Rattus norvegicus: one gene and its partner. The main gene of each other region encodes a partner of the protein of the gene in region 2 in a complex. Links are inferred from orthologs where the notes say so. Each region holds a gene or a part of one and is shown on either strand. Other genes may lie near its edges.

What was found.
Region 1: Gtf2f1 (region 2) and Polr2k share a complex: the UniProt entries of both Homo sapiens proteins name them as parts of the TBP-based Pol II pre-initiation complex. The link is inferred for Rattus norvegicus from reciprocal best matches to the Homo sapiens genes GTF2F1 and POLR2K.

Annotation. Positions count from the first base shown.
Region 1 is NC_086025.1:69,236,994-69,248,535, reverse strand, and holds Polr2k (DNA-directed RNA polymerases I, II, and III subunit RPABC4), read right to left. Parts: upstream 7,304-11,542; 5' UTR 7,221-7,303; intron 6,517-7,220; 5' UTR 6,508-6,516; coding exon 6,447-6,507; intron 6,110-6,446; coding exon 6,017-6,109; intron 4,215-6,016; coding exon 4,192-4,214; 3' UTR 3,957-4,191; downstream 1-3,956. UniProt on the Homo sapiens protein: DNA-dependent RNA polymerase catalyzes the transcription of DNA into RNA using the four ribonucleoside triphosphates as substrates.
Region 2 is NC_086027.1:1,934,369-1,945,639, forward strand, and holds the start of Gtf2f1 (general transcription factor IIF subunit 1), read right to left. Parts: upstream 5,830-11,271; 5' UTR 5,704-5,829; coding exon 5,692-5,703; intron 5,606-5,691; coding exon 5,559-5,605; intron 4,303-5,558; coding exon 4,230-4,302; intron 2,668-4,229; coding exon 2,474-2,667; intron 1,981-2,473; coding exon 1,810-1,980; intron 391-1,809; coding exon 206-390; intron 1-205. UniProt on the Homo sapiens protein: TFIIF is a general transcription initiation factor that binds to RNA polymerase II and helps to recruit it to the initiation complex in collaboration with TFIIB. It promotes transcription elongation.

The DNA of each region.
Region 1 (11,542 bases), on a different chromosome or scaffold from region 2:
ATTTCTCTTTCTTTTTTATTCTACTGTATAACATCCTTAAACCTGTGGCGATTAGAAATGGTAGCTTTTGTACTGGGAGGTAAACTGTACAGGGCATTGATGAGAGCAATGAACTGATCGTTGGTCTAGTAGGAACCATTCAGCCTCATTCAACAATGGCTGGAACTCTCCTCAAATTTGTTTGCTTTCCTGATACAGCTGGACTGTTCGTACTCAGTTCATTCAGCAGAGGCCGGCCTGAACAGAGGACCCATCACACGCCAGCCACTAATTCTGAAGGACATCTGAACCATCAGACATATTTGGATGAAACATTTTTGTGGTTTATTTAGGCACGCTTCAGAAAACTGTTGTCCACAAGGATGTGTTCAGAGACCCAGCGCTGAGATGCAAGGCCAAGGTCAAGTTTGAGAAGCGATACAAGACAGGGAAGAACAAATGTTTTTTTCCAGAAGCTCTTAGATCTATTTTTGTTTTCGTCATTAAAACTTAAAAAAAAAAAAAGAAAATTCTACTAGTAGTAAACTGTCTCAGGAGAGAGAGAGAGAGAGAGAGAGAGAGAGAGAGAGAGAGAGAACGAACATAATACAGCTCAGCACCACAGCACTTGCAAAGTGTGGGGCCTCATCTATTTCACGTCTACATATATAAATGCATATTTGCAAAGAGAACACATTTCTCAGGAATGCCAGGCAGCACTGGCAAAGCTCACTGGTTCATTCTTTCCTTTCTTCCTTCCTTTTTAAAAGCCACTTCAGTTAAACCTACTATTGGTCATTTTAAAAACAAAGGTAGCAGAGGTCTAATTCACAGACACATTTGTTTCAGGGCCATTGCTCTCTGGCAGTGTGGTGTAAGAAGGAGGCAGGCTTCTGCAGATCGCTGCTGGCTTTGCCTTGGGTATAAAAGGTTAACAGTTCGACTTTGGAACAGGATGCAGCCAGGGAATTAGACTAAAGCTTTCAAAACATACCTCTAGGCTGAGAGTGAAGACTGCTTTCCATCAAAAGCATAATCTGAAAGTTTGAAAGGAATTGGGAGAAAACTCGAAGAATTCTACTCTTTATTTGTATTAAAGGAGCTAGAGTTACAGACACTTGTGCACTGCCCGATGTTGAATCTTTTATGCTTTTTTTCTTCTACAGGATACATTTTCTTAATGTCGCTGCATGTTAGCTTGGCGTGGCGTAATGCTAGCTAGCACTTGGGGGCTGGACATAAATTCAAGATCATCCTCAGAAACATAACTAACTCTGTCAGCTTGAGCTCTATGAGACACCTCCCCCAGTCCCTACCTCCATACACACCTCAACGTTAAGTCTCAGCTTCTAAAGGGTGGTTTGGATTGTTCTCTAGAGAATTTTTCCGTATTTCTTTTCAGTCTTTCTATATAAAACCTTGGTCTTGGCCGAGTTTGATTCATTTCCCATATTCCCTAATCAGTGTATTAGTAATATCTCCTGTGCAAATTGCTGTAGCGTTTCGTGGTAACCCTAGTAACATGAAAAACCTGGCTTCTCCTACCCAGGCGGCCAGCGCCCTCTGCAGCCAGAAACGGAAGTGGCATGCCCCAGCTATGGCAACGGTTTCCAGGCACCGCCAGACCCAGGGAAAGTGTCTGGGACGAGCCCGGGAGCTAGCTCTAGGGCCAACCTGCAAGCCGTGGCGTCGGGAGTCGTTCCTCTGGCCTGGGCTGAGGTTCCCCGGGCTGAAGCAGATGGCTGTCCCAGGAAACCGCAGTGCGGCAACTCCACCACAATTTCCACTCCCGTGCGAACCACAGCGGTGGGAAGTTCCAATCACCTTTCCAGACCAGAAAGGACGTTCATCGATAGTGTGCGTGTGCGGCCCGCTTCCTCCACGCCCCGCGGGTGCTCACCGGGGTCTCTGACTATGACCAGCGGAGAGCGACCCGAGAACCGGAGCCAGTGCTTAACACGACTGGGCGGAGACTAAGCTCGCTGCCCGGCGATTGGCTACTCCAACTGCCACCGCTGATTGGCCTCACAGGCCGCAGCCCACTCCGGCCATCACCCAGACCAGAACCAGAGCGAAACCCCTCCTTTGGGTTTCAGTCTGTTTTACAGCAAGTGAAACGCTGTTTCTTTTTGCTTTGATTTTCCATGACAGGGTTTCTACGCGTAGCCTTGGCTGTCCTGGAATTCCCTCTGTAGATTCGCCTGCCTCTACCTCCCGAGTGCTCAGATTAAAGGTGTGTGCCTCCAACACCCCGCTTAAAACGCTATCAATAGACTGCTGTACTCCTAAGGAAAGTGGTGTCTAGTTCTACATAACTGAAATTTACGTAACTGAAACGTTAGACTCTTTGTTACACACTAGGCTTACTTATCTACTGTCCTTTGAACAAGAATAAATGAAAGGCACATTTTCCTCTTTTCATGCAGTCTTGAGAGGTTGGTGAGGAACAAGGTGCTGGAGATACAAATGATTGATAGAAGCAATTCAGATGAATAAAGCAGCAGAGGTCGTTTTGTGGAGAAATTTACTTCCGTTTTAAATACATTTCAGAGTTGGTAAAGTAGATGCGCAAAGCAGCTGGTATGTACTCAGTCCAAAACAGGAATCCTGTAAATAAATTTGTCTACGTCCCGACGAGTCTGCGGGCAGGGGCCACTGCTGCTACCAGTCCCAATGATCACGCTATTACATTTATATACTTACTTAGGGCGTGACGTTGGGAGAATGCTAAACTGCGTATTTGTGGATGAAGACCCAAGCTTTAGGATAGTCCCTAGGCTGACCCACTTATGTGGAAACAGCATCGTATGCTCCAGGTGCTCACTCCAGACGGCAAATCGAGTCTCAAGCAACCACCTGAACTCCCACAACACTGATTTCCTGCAGAGAAAAACTGTAACAATCTCGAGAATGGCTGTCATGCCATGGGGTTCGTAATTTTCTTGTCACACTTCATGTTTTCTTCTGGCTATACAATCTATGCTGAATTGACAAAAGGTCAAAATAATCTTGAAGACTGTGGGCAAGGAAAATATATCTGTCCTCATAAAAGAAAAAAAGTATTGCAACCAATAAACAGATAATGTAAAGAAAGGCCTAGTAAGGGTCACAAGGGGTGCCAAGGTTTATTCAATTTACAGAGCTCTTGAACAGCAGAAAGTATTTCAAGCTGTGCCTGGTAGTGTAGGCCTGCACTCCCAGTTACACAGGAGACAGAAGCAGGAGGATTGCAGAGTCAAGACCCGTCTTCAAACAGCCAACCTAGACATACAGTAAAGCAACAGAGTAGAGTACCATGGGAGAGCACCGGCTGCTCTAGTAGTCAATCACTCTTAGCCTCAAACTAGTTATGTAGCCAGAGACAACCCTTGAATACCTTCTGAATCCTCCTGCCTCCACCTCCCAAGCACTGGGATTAGACAGGCTCCACTACACCCAACTCCCAGAACTCTGTGGTCTAAGGAATATGTGTACCTACATAACTGAGGAAACACTTTTTATAGTCTATGTGTGGGTCTGTGTGGACTGTGTACACACCCAGAAGGCAGTGTCAGTTCCCTGACTGGAGTTCCAGTCTGTTGGGATATACACAACGGGTGCTTGAAAACAGAGCCAGACGCCCTTGGAAGTACAGCAAGTGCTCTCAAGTGTTGAGCCGCTCCTCTGCCCGCTGCCCAAGTCTATTTCCTTTTGGCTTTTTACAATTCTACAGACAGGAAGTACAGTGGCACTCTGGAGAGTTTAGAGTTGTTGACAAAGTACAGTCGTTCCCAAGGGACATATCTCTTCAGACCTTTAGAAAAGGGTTCTAAAAAGCTGCATTCAGAATTTTCAATGTTCTATTTTAGTTAATTGTCTCTGTGGGTGCACCACAAGCACATGCCCGAGTCTCCGTGTGCCCGTGGAGGTCAGAGGACAGACCCATTGAACACAAATCACCTGGCTCGATGGCTTTTTAACAAGACACTGGATTGAAGTGGTTTGGAGAAACACTTTTAATCTTCACTGTATGAGGAATTACAAGGACAATAAATTAAGTCATATGTTGACCCGAAATTTCCTTTATACAGAGTATTAAAATACAATTGGCATTTCTAAAATGAAATCATAGGTACACAGTTGTAGTCATTAAGTAAGCTAAGTTAAATGCTATACATTAAAGAGAAACATCAACGAGGCAAATGTATGAAGACATTCCTCAACTCCACTGTTTCATCGAGCATCAAAAACCACCACTGTTGAATTGAGTTAAGGATTTTAAACAGTACTTAAAATTGTGTAAGACTAAGGCTTCCAAGTTACCCCCTGCACCAAGCTTGCAATTGAATATAAAATGAACAAAAGAATGAAGTTCACTATAATCAGAGATTATCTAAAAAAATAAAGTACACTACTGCCATGTTCAGTAGCTTACTTTTTTGGATACAAGATAATATAAATTAATAATGTAACATATATTAATATAAGTAGTATTAAAAATAAACACAAATTAAAAAAACTCACTGAAACAATTGATGACTTTTAAGAGTTTGTGTCCGTTACCATGAAACAATTTGTAGGCCTCACTATTTTCCACTGTTATTAATCTCTTCTTCCGTACTTTATATTGTTCATAAACTAATAACCAACAATGACTATTACTAAAAACAAAGATTTCCTGAAAAGTAAAAAAGACTTATCAACTAGTTTTTATATTACTGAAAGCCCATAATGAATGGTACATGAAAATGCTAATCACATTTACTTTATATAAAAACCTCTGCCAGGCCTTGGGAGTACATGTCTTTAATCCCGGATTTGGGGGGTAGAGGTGGTGGGCGGGGATAGGTGGATCTCTGAGTTTGAGGCCTGTCTTAGTCAGGGTTTCTGTTCCTGCACAAACATCATGACACAAAGCAGGTTGGGGAGGAAAGAGTTTATCCAGCTTACACAGTCACATTGCTGTTTCATCACCAAAGGAAGTCAGGACTGGAACTCGAGCAGGTCAGGAAGCAGGAGCTGATGCAGAGGCCATGGAGGGATGTTACTTACTGGCTTGCCTCCCGTGGCTTGCTCAGCTGGTTTTCTTATAGAACCCCAGGACCACCAGCCCAGGGATGGCACTACCCACAATGGGCTTGGTCCTCCCTCCTTGATCACTAGTTGAGAAGATGCCTTACAGCTGGGTCTCCCGAAGGCATTTCCACAACTGAGGCTCCTTTTCTGTGATAACTCCAGCCTGTGTCAAGTTGGCCTTCAAAACTAGCCAGTATAAGGCCACAGAGGTTTAGGAAGGCCAGTGATAACCTTAATAAATGAATTAAAAATGTATTTACTGGGTTTTAAAATTTGTTTTATTCAGGTTTATTTTATGCACAAGTGCTTTTGCCTGTATGCATGTATGTACCATTTGGGTCCCGCGCACTGGTAGGTCAGAGGTCGGCCTATCCGACCACCTGTGATTGTGAGCAATCATGTTGGTTCTAAGGCCCTCTGAAAAAGCAGCAATGCTCCTGCCTGCAGATCCAGCTCTCAGGCCCCTAGTTGGTCCTTTGAGACTGGGTCTCACTAAGTAGCTTTAGCTGGCCTGGAATCCTAAGTGTAGACCAGACTGGCCTGGAATTCACAAGGAGCTGCCTGTCTCTACCCCACAAGTTTTGGGAAAAATAAATCCTATTAAAATAATTAATCTGGGTATACCTCCTGTGGAGGCTCCACTCTTTCAGTTCTCAATAAGTCCACATGCACTCTGCTTAAAAAATAATCCAAAAGTTATTACTACTTTGATCAGATCTTAGTCTTTTTTTTTTTAAAGATTTATTTATTTCATGTATGTGAGTACACTGTCACTGTCTTCAGACACACCAGAAGGAATCAAATCCCATTACTAGGTGGTTGAGCCACCATGTGGTTGCTGGGACTTGAACTCAGGACCTCTGTAAGAGTGGTCAGTGCTCTTAACCACTGAGCCATCTCTCCAGCCCCAGATCTTAGTCTTTATCAACCCAAGTATTAGTTACTTCCTCTTCACATTTAAAAAGTATACTTAAAAGGATACATCTCTTAGTCCTTTTCTTGTACATTATTCTGTATCCACATTCTCTGCATCTGATTGGATCCCTGGATTTTATTTCATTTTCGGTGTGACACTCTGGGAAAGAAAGCACATTTATTCAAAGCCTGAAAGAGAAACACTCCAGGGAAGCAAACAGTAACAACATATTAAAAACAGGAGGAAACCAGGGCACCAAAACATCCAAGTACATTCTTATTACTGAACAGACCAAGGAGAAAGAAGAGCTGTAGGCAGTACACCTTTTCCAGATAAAAGGAAGAAATCTTAATAAGGTAGAGGGATTTTAAAATTAACAATCGCTAAAGTGCTCCACGTTATAATTTTAAAGATTTGTACTCATGTATGGAAGGATTCTTTTTAATGGGAGGGGGGGGCGTTCCTAAGTAAAGCATTATTTAAATGTTAATCTTACCTCCACAAATATATATCATTGGCTGCTGCTTTGGTGGTTGAACATCTTTCTGGGTGTCCATTGTTCGTGCCTGAAATGAGAGCCAAAGACTGAGTAACAGGGCCTTCGCACAAAACATGCCCCATTTGATTTATCTTTTTCTCAGAAGCTATACGAGGTTCTGATTTTCCGACCAAAGAGGAAAACCTCAGTAGAATGTTTGCCTAGTGTGCAGAAGCCCAAGAATCAATACCCAATATTACGGATGGGGAAATTAAAAAAAAAAAAAAAGTAATTATCTACTTCCCCTAAACAGTGATGTGGGCTGGGTCTGAAGGATACAGCACATTTTCAACAATAGTAAATACATTATGAATGTTTATTACTCTTCAGGATCCTAGAGGGTATTACACACGAAGAAACGGAGGCTAAGGACATGTTGGTTTGTCCAGTATCACTCCGCAAAGGAATTCCGATTTGAGCTGGGAGCAGTAGCTCCGTCAAAGCTTGTCTCAACATTAACTCCACCGGGGATCTTTATTTTCGCATTTGGTTCTTTAAGAAGGCTTTGAGAGTCTTCACTTTGTAATTCAGGTTAGCCGAGAACTCACTTTGTAGCCTTAGATTGAAAGTCAAGGTGCTTGTTGATGGCAGAATTCTCCTACCTCTGCTTCCCAAGCGCTCAGATGGCAGGCGTGTGCTACCGCTCTCGGTCGTCCAGGGATATTTTAAAGCCAGGTGTCTCTCCTAGTTTTGCCTCCAATTTACCTCCCAAATCACCCGCCGATCCCTTACCTCCGCAGCTCCGGAAAGCGTCCCTCCTCTGTGCACGCAAACGCTTTCTCCGGCTCTTAGAAGCAAGAGACACTACCGGCGCTGCTTCGCCAACTTCCGGCGCTGACTTATGACGCAAAAGCCCTGTCCCTTTCTGCCTGGCAGTACCGAAGAACTAGGGCGCTTGTTGGGGACTGGTTTATAGTGTTTCTCTCCTTAATTCCTGTAGGATTTTGTTTTGATTTGCCCCTCTCTCCAGGGTAGCAAAACATTCCCACAGCTCGGCGTTCGAGAGTCTGTGCTTGTGTAACGGCAGATAGAGCAGGAAGCCAAAACAGGTGCTGCTGGAATCTTAACCCAGCCATTGCTTGGGCGAACACCAGCAGGCCACCCTACCAACACTTCACTTCCCAATATCACGGTTTTCAAATTGTTCAATACCCATGCAGGTTTTTGTTTGTTTGTTGTTTTCAAATTCCAGTTTTCTTAGTTTCTTGTCACCTCTCTTCTATTTTATGTTGGGGAATGGAATGATAGGGGAAGCCCGAGGCTTGATAGTCTATGTAGCCCAGGCTGAGCTTGCTCTTAAACCGGCGCAGTTCTCTACCTTCGCCGCCTCAATGCTGAAATTAATTGCGCAAATCACAACGCCTGCCCATCTTCCTTTTTGAAGCCAAGGTTTTCACAACTAAGGTTTTCACAAGGACAACTCCATCAATTACTTCCACTAGTTGGTGGCTTTAGCTTTTCTCGTAGTATTCTCCCTCTTGTGTTTGATCAATTCAATAGAGTACAGGTGGTATGTGTTCTCACAGATCAAACTTTTAACTCAGTAAAAATCTGTTGGGTTCAGGACGTTTACACTCAATTATTTCACACCATTTATTTTAAAAATAGAGTGGACAAACTAATAGAAGAAAAACTAGGGAAGCATCTGGAACACATGGGCACTGGAAAAAATTTCCTGAACAAAACACCAATGGCTTATGCTCTAAGATCAAGAATCGACAAATGGGATCTCATAAAACTGCAAAGCTTCTGTAAGGCAAAGGACACTGTGGTTAGGACAAAACGGCAACCAACAGATTGGGAAAAGATCTTTACCAATCCTACAACAGATAGAGGCCTTATATCCAAAATATACAAAGAACTCAAGAAGTTAGACTGCAGGGAAACAAATAACCCTATTTAAAAATGGGGTTCAGAGCTAAACAAAGAATTCACAGCTGAGGAATGCCGAATGGTTGAGAAACACCTAAAGAAATGTTCAACATCTTTAGTCATAAGGGAAATGCAAATCAAAACAACCCTGAGATTTCACCTCACACCAGTGAGAATGGCTAAGATCAAAAACTCAGGTGACAGCAGATGCTGGCGAGGATGTGGAGAAAGAGGAACACTCCTCCATTGTTGGTGGGATTGCAGACTGGTAAAACCATTCTGGAAATCAGTCTGGAGGTTCCTCAGAAAATTGGACATTGAACTGCCTGAGGATCCAGCTATACCTCTCTTGGGCATATACCCAAAAGATGCCTCAACATATAAAAGAGACACGTGCTCCACTATGTTCATCGCAGCCTTATTTATAATAGCCAGAAAATGGAAAGAATCCAGATGCCCTTCAACAGAGGAATGGATACAGAAAATGTGGTACATCTACACAATGGAATATTACTCAGCTATCAAAAACAACGAGTTTATGAAATTCGTAGGCAAATGGTTGGAACTGGAAAATATCATCCTGAGTGAGCTAACCCAATCACAGAAAGACATACATGGTATGCACTCATTGATAAGTGGCTATTAGCCCAAATGCTTGAATTACCCTAGATCCCTAGAACAAACGAAACTCAAGACGGATGATCAAAATGTGAATGCTTCACTCCTTCTTTAAATGAGGAAAAAGAATACCCTTGGCAGGGAAGGGAGAGGCAAAGATTAAAACAGAGACTGAAGGAACACCCATTCAGAGCCTGCCCCACATGTGGCCCATACATATACAGCCACCCAATTAGACAAGATGGATGAAGCAAAGAAGTGCAGACCGACAGGAGCCGGATGTAGATCGCTCCTGAGAGACACAGCCAGAATACAGCAAATACAGAGGCGAATGCCAGCAGCAAACCACTGAACTGAGAATAGGTCCCCTATTGAAGGAATCAGAGAAAGAACTGGAAGAGCTTGAAGGGGCTCGAGACCCCAAAAGTACAACAATGCCAAGCAACCAGAGCTTCCAGGGACTAAGCCACTACCTAGAGACTATACATGGACTGACCCTGGACTCTGACCCCATAGGTAGCAATGAATATCCTAGTAAGAGCACCAGTGGAAGGGGAAGCCCTGGGTCCTGCTAAGACTGAACCCCCAGTGAACTAGTCTATGGGGGGAGGGCGGCAATGGGGGGAGGGTTGGGAGGGGAACACCCATAAGGAAGGGGAGGGGGGAGGGGGATGTTTGCCCGGAAACCGGGAAAGGGAATAACACTCGAAATGTATATAAGAAATACTCAAGTTAATAAAAAAAAATGTTAAAAAAAATAAAAATAGAGTGGAAAACGTGAAGGGATTCAGGAATTCAAGTGAAAACCGTTAATTAAAGTGATGGCTTCTCTCCCAGTGTGCATCCTGGTATCTTAGTAAACTGTACTCTCTCCATTCTCCATTCACCAAAAGAACAACTTTGGGCTTTGCGTTTCATGTCTAGTTCAAGTCTGTAATATTCACAGACCAGCTTGAGAGATTCCAGTCTTCCTTGATGCCATTCTTTTTTTTAAAGAATTGTTGGCTTAACTCAGTAGTAAAATGCTTGCTTAGCATGCATGGACTCACAGTGGTAATTTCTTTCAAAAGGAAATCATTTCTGATTTCAACAGTACTTTCCAGCTTCTTCCTCTACATGCAGATTAACAGCATATTTTGACCTGCAGCCATGTTACAAAGTACTTCTTCTCAACAAAGGGGAAGAGGTAAACAAGTTTGTATACTAGACATCTGTACATCTGTACAATAAATACTAGGTTAAACCCATGGCTACCGTAAAAGGATTTCATACTGCAAGACATCTTGGATCTTAAGATTTTATTATTTTGAGTTATGTGTGAGTATCAGTAGGGATCAGAAGAGACAGTTGGATCCCCTTGACTGGAACTACAGACTACTATACACTGCCCCACCTAGAAGTTGGGCCCTGAACTTGGTTCTCTGCAAGAACAGCAAGTGCTCTTAAATGCTGAGCTTTCTTTCCAGGTCTTGTATTTTTTTTCTCAGAGTCTTGCTATGTAGACTAGGCTAGCCTGGAATTCATAGATCTTCCTGTCTCCCAGTGCTGAAATAACGAGTAACTTTTAAAATCATAACTTTTTACTAGATTCTAAATCTGTTCAAGTACCAAATTTTCTATCACAAAACATGTATGAAGGTTAGAATGGATCATCACATGTAGATCTTAAATGTACCCTGGGATTCTACAGGATAGTGGTGTAATGCCTAGTCACAGTAAAAGATCCAGTATTTCCATAGGGGTTCATACTGGTGCTAGTGCCCACCCCTTTTCTATTAGCAGTAACTGGAGAATCTCCATGTGACATAATCCATTATCAAAGACAACATGAAGCTAACTCCGTGAGCATCCACCCCATGACAGAAATCACTGTATCACTGTCCCAGTGCAGGCTGATGCCATCCTGAAGCCTTTAACTCTTTATATGATGGTTATGATGAAACATGTTGCAATTTTTTCTTGACTCTTCTGGGTTTCTTTTATGCTTGTGATAACAACTTCCGAATAGCCTGAATGCCAAGGTCATCAAGGAAGAGTCATTATGTTTTACTGAACAGGCCCCAAAAGAAAATGAGACCTTATGGGAATTAAATAAGTTTTAGAATTCTATCATGGGAGCTTGATCCAAGAAAAGCAAAGAAGCAAAAGACTGTGGCAGATAAGCAAAAGACAGGGCCAGCAAGATAGATCAGTGAGTAAAGGCACTGCCTCAAAACTTGCTATGTAGGGCTGGAGAGATGGCTCAGTGGTTAAGAGCACTGACTGCTCTTCCAGAGGTCATGAGTTCAATTCCCAGCAACCACATGGTGGCTCACAACCATCTGTAATGAGATCTGGTGCCTCTTCTGTCACATATGCAGACAGAATGCTGTACATAAAATAAATAAATAAATCTTAAAAAAAAAAACCTTGCTATGTAGCCAAAAATGGCCTTGTGTTTCCCATCCTTCTGCCTCCACCTTCCACATTCTGGGGATTAAAAGAGCTATCATGCCTGCTTCTGGTATGCTTCCCCCTCATATAAAAAAAGTCTCCTAAAAAACAAGTATTTTTAATCTGAGAGC
Region 2 (11,271 bases):
GCCATTCAGTCACCAAAAGCCCTATCCCTATAATCAACCAGGCCCATGTGGCCTGCGGCACAGCAACCTTGAACATTTAAACAAACTGGTCCCATGGAAAGTCTGTAAGGTGCCATTCATTTCCTCAGTAACTCTGCGCCATGACTTCCCAGGTGGTGTTAACTCAGCATGGCCTTGTCTTGAAGACCTCTGGGTCCCCACTCACCCTCTTCTCCACTGGCATCACTGGCATCGGATGACATTTCCAGGTCATCTTCCAGGTCATGAATGCGCAGTTCACTAGGCTTCTTACGGCTGCGCTTCTCCTTCTCCTCCTCATCTTCATCCTGGTCCTGGTCCTTGAGTCGCCGCTGCTGCATGATGCTGAAGTGGTTCAGGACCTTGTTCCTCCTACACATGGGGACAAGTGACTGAGTACGTTGTGCAGCAGAGGCTGGTGGAAGATAATGACCAGGACACTCAGATGGGCACCGTCCTTTTCAGGGACAATGGGCATGACGGGGTAACCTCGTTAAGGCGCGCACACTGTGAGGAAGCTAAAGCAGAAAGACCCTGTAGGGTGTTAACCTGAGCCACACCACATGCAACAGAGGGGGGGAGGGGCAGGGCATGCAGCATGGGCCATTTCAGACCCCCGGATCTTGAAATAATATAGGGTGAGCCCTGAAATGGCCTCAGGCCCACGTGCACTTGAGCCCTCTGGGAACCCCACATCTTAGCTCCTCCAGACTCAGGGTCTGTTCCAGGCATATCCAGCCATCATATTGGTTAGCTAAATAATTTTTTATGCTTTTTCCTGGGAGGGGAGGGTTGGGGAGGGTTGTTTTGTTTTGTTTTGTGGTTTTGTGAGATAGGATCTCTACTGTCCTGGCTATCTTGGAACTCACTATGTTGACCAGGCTGGCCTTGAACTCACAGAGATACTCATGCCAATGCATCCTAGAGTGCTGGGTTAAAGGTGTACACCATCAGGCTTGGCCCAATTAAAATTCCTTTAAAACAGGATCTTATTGTGTGATCTTAGCTGGCATGGAACTTGGAATATACACCAGTCCTCAAACTCAGAGAGCCTGTTGCCTGTGTACCAAAGTGCTGAGATAAAAGGTGTGCACCACTGTGTCTGGAGCTCTGGGTGTTTTGCTGAGATAGAAGGCGTGTACCACTGTGTCTGGAGTTCTGGGTGTTTTGAAACCAAATCTTGTATAACCACAGCTGGCCTCAAATTTAATACAGCAGAAGATGGACTTGAACTCCTGATTCTCTTGCTTCTGCCATCTGTGTGCTGAGGTGTGCACTCACACTACCCCCACCCATACCCCCATCATTAATTTATCTCAAGGATTACATAGAGTAGGGTCTCATTGGACAAGGAGCTGTCCATGAACCTATGTGTGCCCAGAATAAGGCTAAGCATAGTAGGAGGAGCTGCTTTTGACATTTCAATCCCAGCCCTTGAGAACCGGCACTATTCCAGGCTTGTAGGCAAGCACAGAGCAACCCCATGGACCACATCAATTCCAACAGCCCTCTCTGGACACACAGGGCCCACCCTCAGCAGGTGTACACGACATCTTATGCTGTCCACTGAGTTTCTCTATCCCAGCTTCCCTGTACCCATCTTTGTTTCTACCTCCCAAGCTAGAACTGAGGCGGTTGCCATGAAGAGGCGCCTCCCTGACCCCCAGGCTGTGCCTATCTGTGGTACTAGCCTTCACTCAGCTCCCAGGCCTGCCAAAGGAAGCACTGCTTCCTGCTCCAGGCAGGCTTGCTCCAAGGGCATACACATTATAACCACCACTTCTGCCTCACCTCTCCCATTCCTCCTCAGCTTCCTCAGCAGTCAGTGTGCGGTGTCGGGCCAGCGGTGTGAAATTGTACCAGTTCTGCACAGGGAAGGCCTCGAAGGCGCCATCCGCACACTGTGTGAAGATGTAGTAGGCCGTGTTCTCTGTTACCCCGCCTTTCTTGATGCCCTTGAACCTGCAGAGAGCCTCAGTTAGGTCAGGACCTCACCCACAGGGCCTGCCTGCACTCCATCCACCCCCTTACAGTACCCATCTGGGCTCTTCTAGGAATGACAGGACAGAAAGGCATGGGCCACCACCTCCTTAACCAAGTACCACTCTGCCACCTTGTGGCCACCATCCTCACAGCTGCTCCCAGCCTATAACCCACCATGGCTACTGTGGGGCCCTACAGCATGCAGGCTCCAGCTATCAGTCCACTGAGTAACTATGCATAGAGTACTGGTCACTGGCTTTCTCAGGCTCCACCATCCCAAGTGTCAAGGTGCTCTCCAGGTCACAGTCAGGCTATTGAGCCAGGCCAACAGTCTCCAGTTTAAGATTAAACTTTGACAAGAGAGGTGGTCCTGGGCCCCCATCCTGTTGGGAACAGACTTGAGGACAATGTCTCCTAAGCATGCGTGTGTGAGGGACACAAGCTGGAACTCCCCACCATCAGCACCACTCACTTCCTCCCCGATTTGCCATTGACACGGAGTAGCCAGGGCTGGTCCTCAGGCCGGAACTCCTTCAGGACGATGCCATACTTCTTCCGGCGAGCCTCCTCCCTGAGCTTGCGGTTGAATTCACTTCCTGCACCAGACTCTGGCATCTCCTCTTCCTGGTAGATCTTCTTGTTGCTCAGATCTCGCTCCAGCCGTGCCTGGAGGGAAGCAGGAGCAGGGATACTCTCCTGTCGCGCTGTGCCAGGCCTCACGTGCCCCAGCACACCCGCATGCGGCATGAGGGCAGGGATATGAGCACCTGCTCTGCCCAGGGAGAGGGCGGTGGAGACGCCTCAGTGGATAACGTAGCTGCCTTGCAAGCATAAGGATCGGGAGTCCAGACCCCCAGTACCACAGACAAAGCTGGGTATGGAAGTGTGCATCTGCGACCCCAGGAGAACGGTGTAGACAGCAGGGTCCCTGGGACTCACAGGTCAGCAAGCCCCAGGTCCAGTTAGATACCCTGACTCAAAACTGTATGTAAAAAGGCTGGGAAAGATAGTACTTGCTATATAGTCTGCATAAAGTATAGCCTGCAAAAGGACTGAGGCTTGAGTTCAAGCCCTAGGACCCACACAGCATAAAGTGAGAACCGACTCCTGCAAACTCTTCTCTGATCTCAACTCTGCATCCCTCACACACCTGTGGCCCAACAGATGTCATTTTAATAATAAGGTGTAGAGTGACTATGGAAGACAGCTGATGTCCACTCTAGCCTTGACATGCACAGCATGCCCACATGCACATATGCACACACACACGACTCTGGTCATGAGGAATGTGGGACTTACAACAGTAAAACAGACTGGTCCATGAGATCACGGAGACCACCCGAGGAAGGCTCAGGAGCAACCCAGACAATATGGAAATAGTAACATTTTAACATGACACCCAGAATACTGGGTAGTTTAAAACTTTGGCCTTTAACACTTTTTTCCTCTTAGTATTATCTAGAGAATCCTGTTATGTAGCTCAGGCTGTTCAAACTTATGATCCTCCTGCTTCCACCTCCCTGGTGCTGGGATGCTAGTATCCCTGGCTGTACCCATCTTGTGGTATGGTTTTATCCTTTCGAGACAGGGTCTCACTGTATAGGCAGTCTGCTCTGAAGCCCACTGTGCAGACCAGGCTGGCCTCAAAGTCAGAGATCCACTGACTCTGCTGCCAAGAACTGGCATTAAAGGTATGTGTCACTATGGCCTGCTGGCTTTATCTTAAAAACAAACACTCCAAACTTATAAAATGCATTTGTTTTTGTACATGACATGGCCTGCTTGTCATCTTGTTACCCGTTACTTTACTTTATAGTATACATATAGACATGGTCTATATATATATATATATATCCGGGGCTTCACTCAAGCTCACTATGTAGCCAAGGATGGTCTTCAATTTGAGATCCTATCCCCTTTCCCATGCTGGATAACAGGCGTGTGCCAGCCAACATGCCCATTATACATGGCGCTGGTGGTCCCCCTGGCCTCCTATATGCCAGATGAGTGCTCCATCAATTGAACCGTACCCTCAGGCTAGCTTCTTCTCTTTGAGATAGGATTTATTTAGTATAGGCTGGTCTAAAACACTCAGTCTTTCTACCTCAGCCACCAAATAGCTGGAATCACAGGTCTGCTGGGGCTACAGGTGTGGGCACTACTGTTTCAGTAAAGTCACCAGCCCAGGGTTAGGTCTCTGCCCCAGACACCCAGAGGCATACACTTACCTGGTTCCAGGTAGCAAAGTTGACTTTATCAGCTGCATTAAAAGCCATTATGTTGTATCTTTTGGCTGTGTTCCTGGAATGGGCAAGAAACTATTCAATCCATCGATTAGCCATTCAACAAATCTACGATTTACACCCTTGGTTGTAGGTAATTCTGGGAACTCAAAAAAGACTCGGGAACAATGGTCCTCAACCTTCCTAAAGCTATGACCCCTAATACCCCTATGACCCCCTCATGCTGTAGTGACCCAACCATAAAATTATTTTTGTTAGTTCATAACTGTAAGCTTGCTACTATCATGATTCATAATGTAAATATCTGTGTTTTCTGATGGACTTAGGCGACCCACAGGTTGAAAACCACTGCTCCAGTTTCTCAGGGATTTTTTAATTTTGTTTTTGTTTTGTTTTTTTTAAAGACTCCATCTCATCCAACCCCATATAAAGATCCATAGGCACCAGGCACTCTCACAACACACATCTATATACACACAGGCATACACAGAGATAACACTAAATCCTTAAGAAAAAAATGAACCGGGGGCTGGAGAGATGGCTCAGTGGTTAAGAGCACTGACTGCTCTTCCAGAGGTCCTGAGTTCAAATCCCAGCAACCACATGGTAGCTCACAACCATCTGTAATGAGATCTGATGCCCTCTTCTGGTGTGTCTGAACAGCTACAGTGTACTTATATATAATAAATAAATAAATCTTTAAAAAAAAAAAAGAAAAAAGAAAAAAATGAACCAAAGGTGTAGAGAACCTTTATGTAGAGAGGAAGGCAGGCAGGCAAGGGCTGGAGGTGAATGGGTCTTAGTGGGTTTCAAAGTCAGCCTGGTCAAACCGGCTAGACTACACAGTAAAACTGTGTCTTCAAAATAAACAAAAAAATAAAAGGGGACTAGGTGTAGATCAGTGGTACAGTGCTTGCCTACCACAGGCCCACCTAAGATAAAATTAGAAGTTGAGGGCCATGGCACTTGGCACAGAAAGCAGGATGTGTACTACTTGTGACCAGTTTGGAATTTTGTTTTATTTTGAGACAGGCTCTCACGATATGTAGCCCTGGCTGGTCTGGAACTCCCTCTATAGACCTGGCTGACCGCGAACTCAAAGAAATTCTCTTGTTTCTGCCTCCCAAGTGCTGAGATTAAAGGCAGCCACCATGTCTGGCCTGACCAGTCTGAAACAGGACAGAGTCACAGACCCTAACATTAACTACCAAGATTTACCAAGACATATTACTATGTCTTGGACGCGGCAGTAGGGCCAGCGTGGCAGGGGAACACAGGGCCGAGGTTCTAAAGTGTGGATGGACGGGGACTTACTTGGGGACTCGGACGACGTACTCAGTGACATTCTGGCTGCTGGAGCCCTGCAAAAGAACAGGAGTCTGTAAGGCGAGAAGAGGGCGCGGGGTCTGTTTTGCGACACCTCCATCCCCACCTCATTCATACTTACTAGAGCCGCCATGGCCGTTGCTCAAGCTGCTCCGGGTCGGCCAGACCTGGATGGTCTTGGTTGTGTCCCTCGGACCCAGGGAAAGCACCTTTCCTGGTTGTCACGTTAGTGTGATCCTGTGCTTTGGATTTCCAAACCCTTAAGTCTCCTAGAATGCTGGAAGACGAGAAAAAAAAGAGACTTAGAACGCTGCGCATGCGCCACAGCCTGACCCGGAAGTAGAACTGCCACACGGAGACGAGAGCTACCACTGTACCTAGTCTGTGTCTTCTCCAGCTTCTGAGCGAAATAAAGCTGCTTTCTCCCAGTGTTCTCTTTTACATCACGGATAACTTATAATCACGTGAGAATACGTCACTTCGTGACGTCAAGACGCGGGCAACGTGGAGCATCTTGGGTAGGGTGGGAATGGAGTCTTCTGGTGTTCGCGTCCTCGGTACTCTCGCGCAAGCGTAAATGTCCAAGAAGCGGGAGCGGAGGCCGCGTTGCCATGGCAACCGAGGCTCGCTCTGTGGAATGGCCTCCGGGGCTCTTCTGGGGTGGGTCTGAGATTCCGTTTTCTTTTGTGTCCTGGAGTCAGGGGATCCCGAGGATCTTGCAAAATGAGTCCCTTGTGACGTAAAGCGGAGCCGAGGAGTCGTTGCAGGGCAGAGACCCGGCCCCGGCGTACCCCAGCATTGCGGGCGGGATGGGTCTGTGCGAGTCCACGCTGCCCCAGCTGGGCAGAGCTTTACGGCCCCAGGAGAAGGGTAACAACATGGGGTAGTTGGTCTACATGAGGCAACGGAAGGGGGCGGTGGGCAGGTATCCCACCACCTGATTGTGCACACCAACCCTTGCACGACAGGAACGCATCTGCACATGCTCCCACCCCACCATTGGTTGATGCCTTTGGAATATAACTTGAGTAGAGGAGCCAGTGTCAGAGATGGAAAGTACAATTCTCGGGGGAGGAATCAGAAAAAGGGAGCCTGTGGGACTCATAGGAGTTGGGACCCTCAGAGGGTCAAGGGTGGTACAGACATTGAACCTGAGAAGGATGAGATATGGTGATTCCATGTTAGTCTTTACAGAACCATAAACAACTGACTCCACTGATGTATCTAGTAGCGGAGACATTCATTTCTTCACTTTCGGGGAGCGCACCGTGAGTTACAAAGGCTGGTTAGGAAGACTAAAGGGAGTCAAAAAGGACAAAGAACAAAGAACCATGACTGTGAAGGAGAGGAAAGGGTTGTGTGACTAGAGGCACAAGCAGGCAGGATAGAAAGGACCGCATGGTGGGTGGAGCAGGGTGCTATTGGGTGGGTTTGAGGGCCTTCCTCTTTCATTATCTGTAAAATGGGTTGATGGAGTCAGTAAGGCACTTCATGGAGGTCTGTGCAAAAGGCCGGTGGCCTGCTCAACAGAGGGAGCCTTCAGTGTGAGGCCAGGATCTCTTATAGACTCGTACTAGTACCCACTTTCTTCCCTGAACACCATAGACATCCTGAGGTATCCTCTGATCATCTTTGTGGTGGGGGGGCCTGGCTGCGGGAAAGGGACCCAGTGCAGAAACATGGCTATGAAATACGGCTTCTACCACGTGGAGCTGGGCCAGCTGCTGCGGGAGGAGGCTCAGAGAAGCACCCAGAGGGGCCGGCAGATCCGGGACATCATGCAGCAGGGACTCCTGGTACCCACGGTGAGCGTTCACAGGAGACAGGGGCATGGCCGGACAGGGTGTTCTGGCCCAGCCACTCACTGCCTTGCTGCATTAACACTGTTCTTATCTGACAATGCTATGACGATATAAGGGTTAAGGACACTGGCTGCTCCTCCCCAACCTGGGTTTGATTCCCAGCACCCAAATAACAGTTCACAACTATCCGTCAACTCTATTTCCAGGGTTTCTGGCTTCTGAGGGCTCTGCATACACTCACACATGTGTACAGACATACATACAAGCACTCACACAAATAAAACAAGCAAACAAAAAAAAAAAAAAAAAAGCCACTGGCCTAGCATGCTCAAAAATCCTGGGTCCCATCCCCAGCCATGCAGAAACTGGGTACATGCTGGGCAACCAGTCCTCGGGAGGCGAAGTCAGGAGGATGAGGAGTTCTAAGGCATCCTTTATTACATATACAGTTCAGCCCGTGCCAGGGGCCAAAGATGGCAGCCAAGCCTCACAGCCTGAATTGACTCCTGTGAATGGCACATGCACCACCCTTCCCCAGCTAGATAAATAATATAGAGATCTAATAACTGTTTTTTAGATCTAATAAACTTATAAGAGTCTACCCATCCACCACACACACACACACACACACACACACACACACACACACACACACACACACACACAAAAGATTCTAGCCTGGACTATGTCATGGGGGAGGGGTGACAAAGGAGGGAGGGAAGAAGAAAGTCACGTGAAGTGGCAAACACCTGTTGTCCCCAAATCCGGGAGGCTGAGGCAGGAAGATGGGGAATTTAAGGTCAGCCTGGGTTACATAGACCCTAAGTACATAAATTACTTAAACAAATCAGCTTCTGTACCCATAAACTGCACACCCGCATATCCAACGGACTCTACCAAAAATACCCAGGAAGCACATTGCTGAGCAGGGATACGCTTCCTCCCCTACACAGCAAAGTATAGCCATTTACCTAGCATTAGACTGATGGCGTGTCAGGTAATGTAAGCTATCTGATGGGCAGAGTGGGGCAAGCCTGTGTCCCAGGACGCTGGAAGCAGTAAGTTCAGTTCCAGGTCACTAGACTTGAAAGCACACCTTTCATCCCAACACTGGGGAGGCGGAGGCAAGAGGATATATGAGTTTAAGGATGAGCCTGGCTATGTGAGACTCTGTCTCTAAAACAGAGTATTAGGAGTCTGTGAGTCTCGTTCAGAGAACAAGGGTTTACCTAGCATTTGTGAGGTCTTGGGCTCAGTATATGGGTGTAAAGGGGTTGGGGGAAAGGAAAGAGAAAAGAGCCAAGCACTCAGGAGGCAGATACAGGGGAGTCTCTGAATTCAGGGCCAGCTCGGGCTCCATGCCTAGTTGCTGGGGAGGTGACTAGCTGTTACCCGAGACTAAGTGCTCTGTAGACACGAGTTCAGTTCCCAGGTGGCTCACAATGGCCTGTAGATCCAGCTCCAGGGGATCCTACTTCTTTGGCCTCTGGGGCACCTGCTTGCACCTGAACATATCTACACACAGACAGACATACAATCAGAAGTAACTTCAAATTATTATTTTAGATACATTTATTCTATATTTACATGTATGTGAGTACAGTGTAGCTGCCTTTAGACACACCAGAAGAGGGAATTGTGTGCATCACAGATGGTTGTGGTTACTGGGAGTTGAACTCAGGACCTTTAGAAGAGCAGTCAGTGCTCTTAACCTCTGTGCCATCTCTCCAGCCCCCAAATTATTTTTAAAAGCATGTAAGGAGAGAGGGAGTCAGCGATTGTCCTACAGGAGGGCCAAACTGAATGACCTTCATAGCCCTTGGCCTCTTTGGAGGGGCAGATTCTGAGTCCATGCCCTTTCCTTCCCAGGGTCTCATTCTGGACATGGTCAGTGACAACTTGTTGTCTTATCCAAAGAGCCGCGGCTTTCTCGTCGATGGCTTCCCCAGAGAGCTGGAACAGGCCAAAGAGTTTGAGCGGATTGTGAGTGACCATGATCCCCCCCAGAGGCAAGAGCCATTCGGGGGGGTGTGCTACCTGAGTGGAGGTTCCAGACCAACCTCTCTCCACTCTCCATAAGACCCTAGTGGATGGATATAAGAGGACCTGTGGCTGGGAGATAGAGCCTTCCTTCCTCTCCTCCTTCCTCTCTTGATCCCCACCCCCATTTCCCGCTTCCTTCAGATTTCATATATCCTAGGCTGGTCTCAAATCCCTTAACAGAAGAGAGGCTGACCTTGAACTCTTATTCTTCCTGCCTCTCTCTGGGGTGCTGAGATGGTAAGGTTGTGCCACCACACCTAGTTTATATGCTGAGGATGGAAGTCAGGGCTTCAGGCATGCTGGGTGAGCCCTCTACCCAACGTGCTCTGCCCAGCCTGCACATGCGACTTGGAGGTATATGCTGGTCACCCCAGCACTGGGATCCTGTGAGGCAGGAGGATTGTGATTTCTGGGCCAGCCTAAGCTACATTTGGAGTTCAGCTGGGAATTCCATAAAAAGAATTCCTGTCTCAAACAATACAAACTGAACAAGGCCCTCGTGCTGGCTGACCTCTGGCTGCCATACTCCCAAACACATGCAGGAAGAAATTGGGTTGCTGATGGTGCAAACCTATGGAAGATTCCAGAGGGTGAATTTATCCGTGGAGAGTGTTGCCAATGGGCTTAGGAAGCATTCACACTGCTGTTGCCATGGGGATGTGCAGGACCCACGTTACCAAGCCAGGAGGGTTTATGGGAGAGCTGTGCTGCAGAAGCTGACACCCCCCTCCCGCCTTGTTTAAATATTAGTCACAATTTCTTAAAATGTGAAACTGTGTAACCCAAAAGGAAGTGTGGGCTGGGAGTCAGGATGGAGTAGTAGCCTCAGTCCCAGAATGTTTCATGTAGCCCAGGCTAGCCTCCATCTGATGCTGGGACAATAGAAGTGAGACAGCACTGGCTGGCTGGCTTCTCTGTGTTTTGTGCTGTTTCTGGAGACAGTGTCTCTCTATGTAGCCAGGCTGACCTGGAAGTCCCTGCAATACTCCTGAATGCTAAGAACACAGGCACGCATCACCACAGAAGTCTGGACAGATAACAGTTAATTCCTTGCTTTTTGTTTGTTTGTTCTTTTCTTTTTTAAAGTTATTTATTTATTTATTTATTTATTTATTTATTTATTTATTTAATGCATGTGAGTACACTGTTGCTATTTTCAGACACACCAGAGGGCAATGGATCCCATTACAGATGTTTGTGAGCCACCATGTGGTTGCTAAGAATTGAACTCAGGACTGAGTTAACCACTGAGACCTCTGCAACCCCAGTTCCTTGCTTTTTTGATATTTCAATTTATGCATGTGAGCATCTTGCCTGTATATATGTATGTCTATACAGACATGCCTTGTGCCCTTTAAGGTGTAGGTATGAACATGGCATCGGAACCCTGAAACTGGACTTAGGATAGTTGTGAGCCATTATGTGTATGCTGGGACTCAGATGTAGGTCCTCTCCAAGAACAAGTACTCTATCACCAAATCTTGCAGCAGCCCTAACTGTGAACTCTGTATGTGGGTACATGGCAGCACTATAAGATACCCACACAGAATTTTTTTTTGAGACAGGGTTTTTTTTTTGTGTGTGTGTAGCTCTGGCTCTAGAACTCAAACTCAGGAATCCACCTGCCTTTGCTTTCTAGTGCTGGCATTAAAGGCATGTGCCACCACTGCTTAGCTGATATTTTGTTTTTGAAGTGAGGGTCTGGGGGTGTGGTTCAGGGATGCAGTCTGTGGACACTGCTTTCTTGGATTGTGAGATGCACATGGATAGCTAGCCCTGGCTCCTGACCAGTCCCATATCCAAACATGTAATGAAGCTCGGACTAAAAGCAGTGGGTGGAGCCTGCTAGAGTTTGC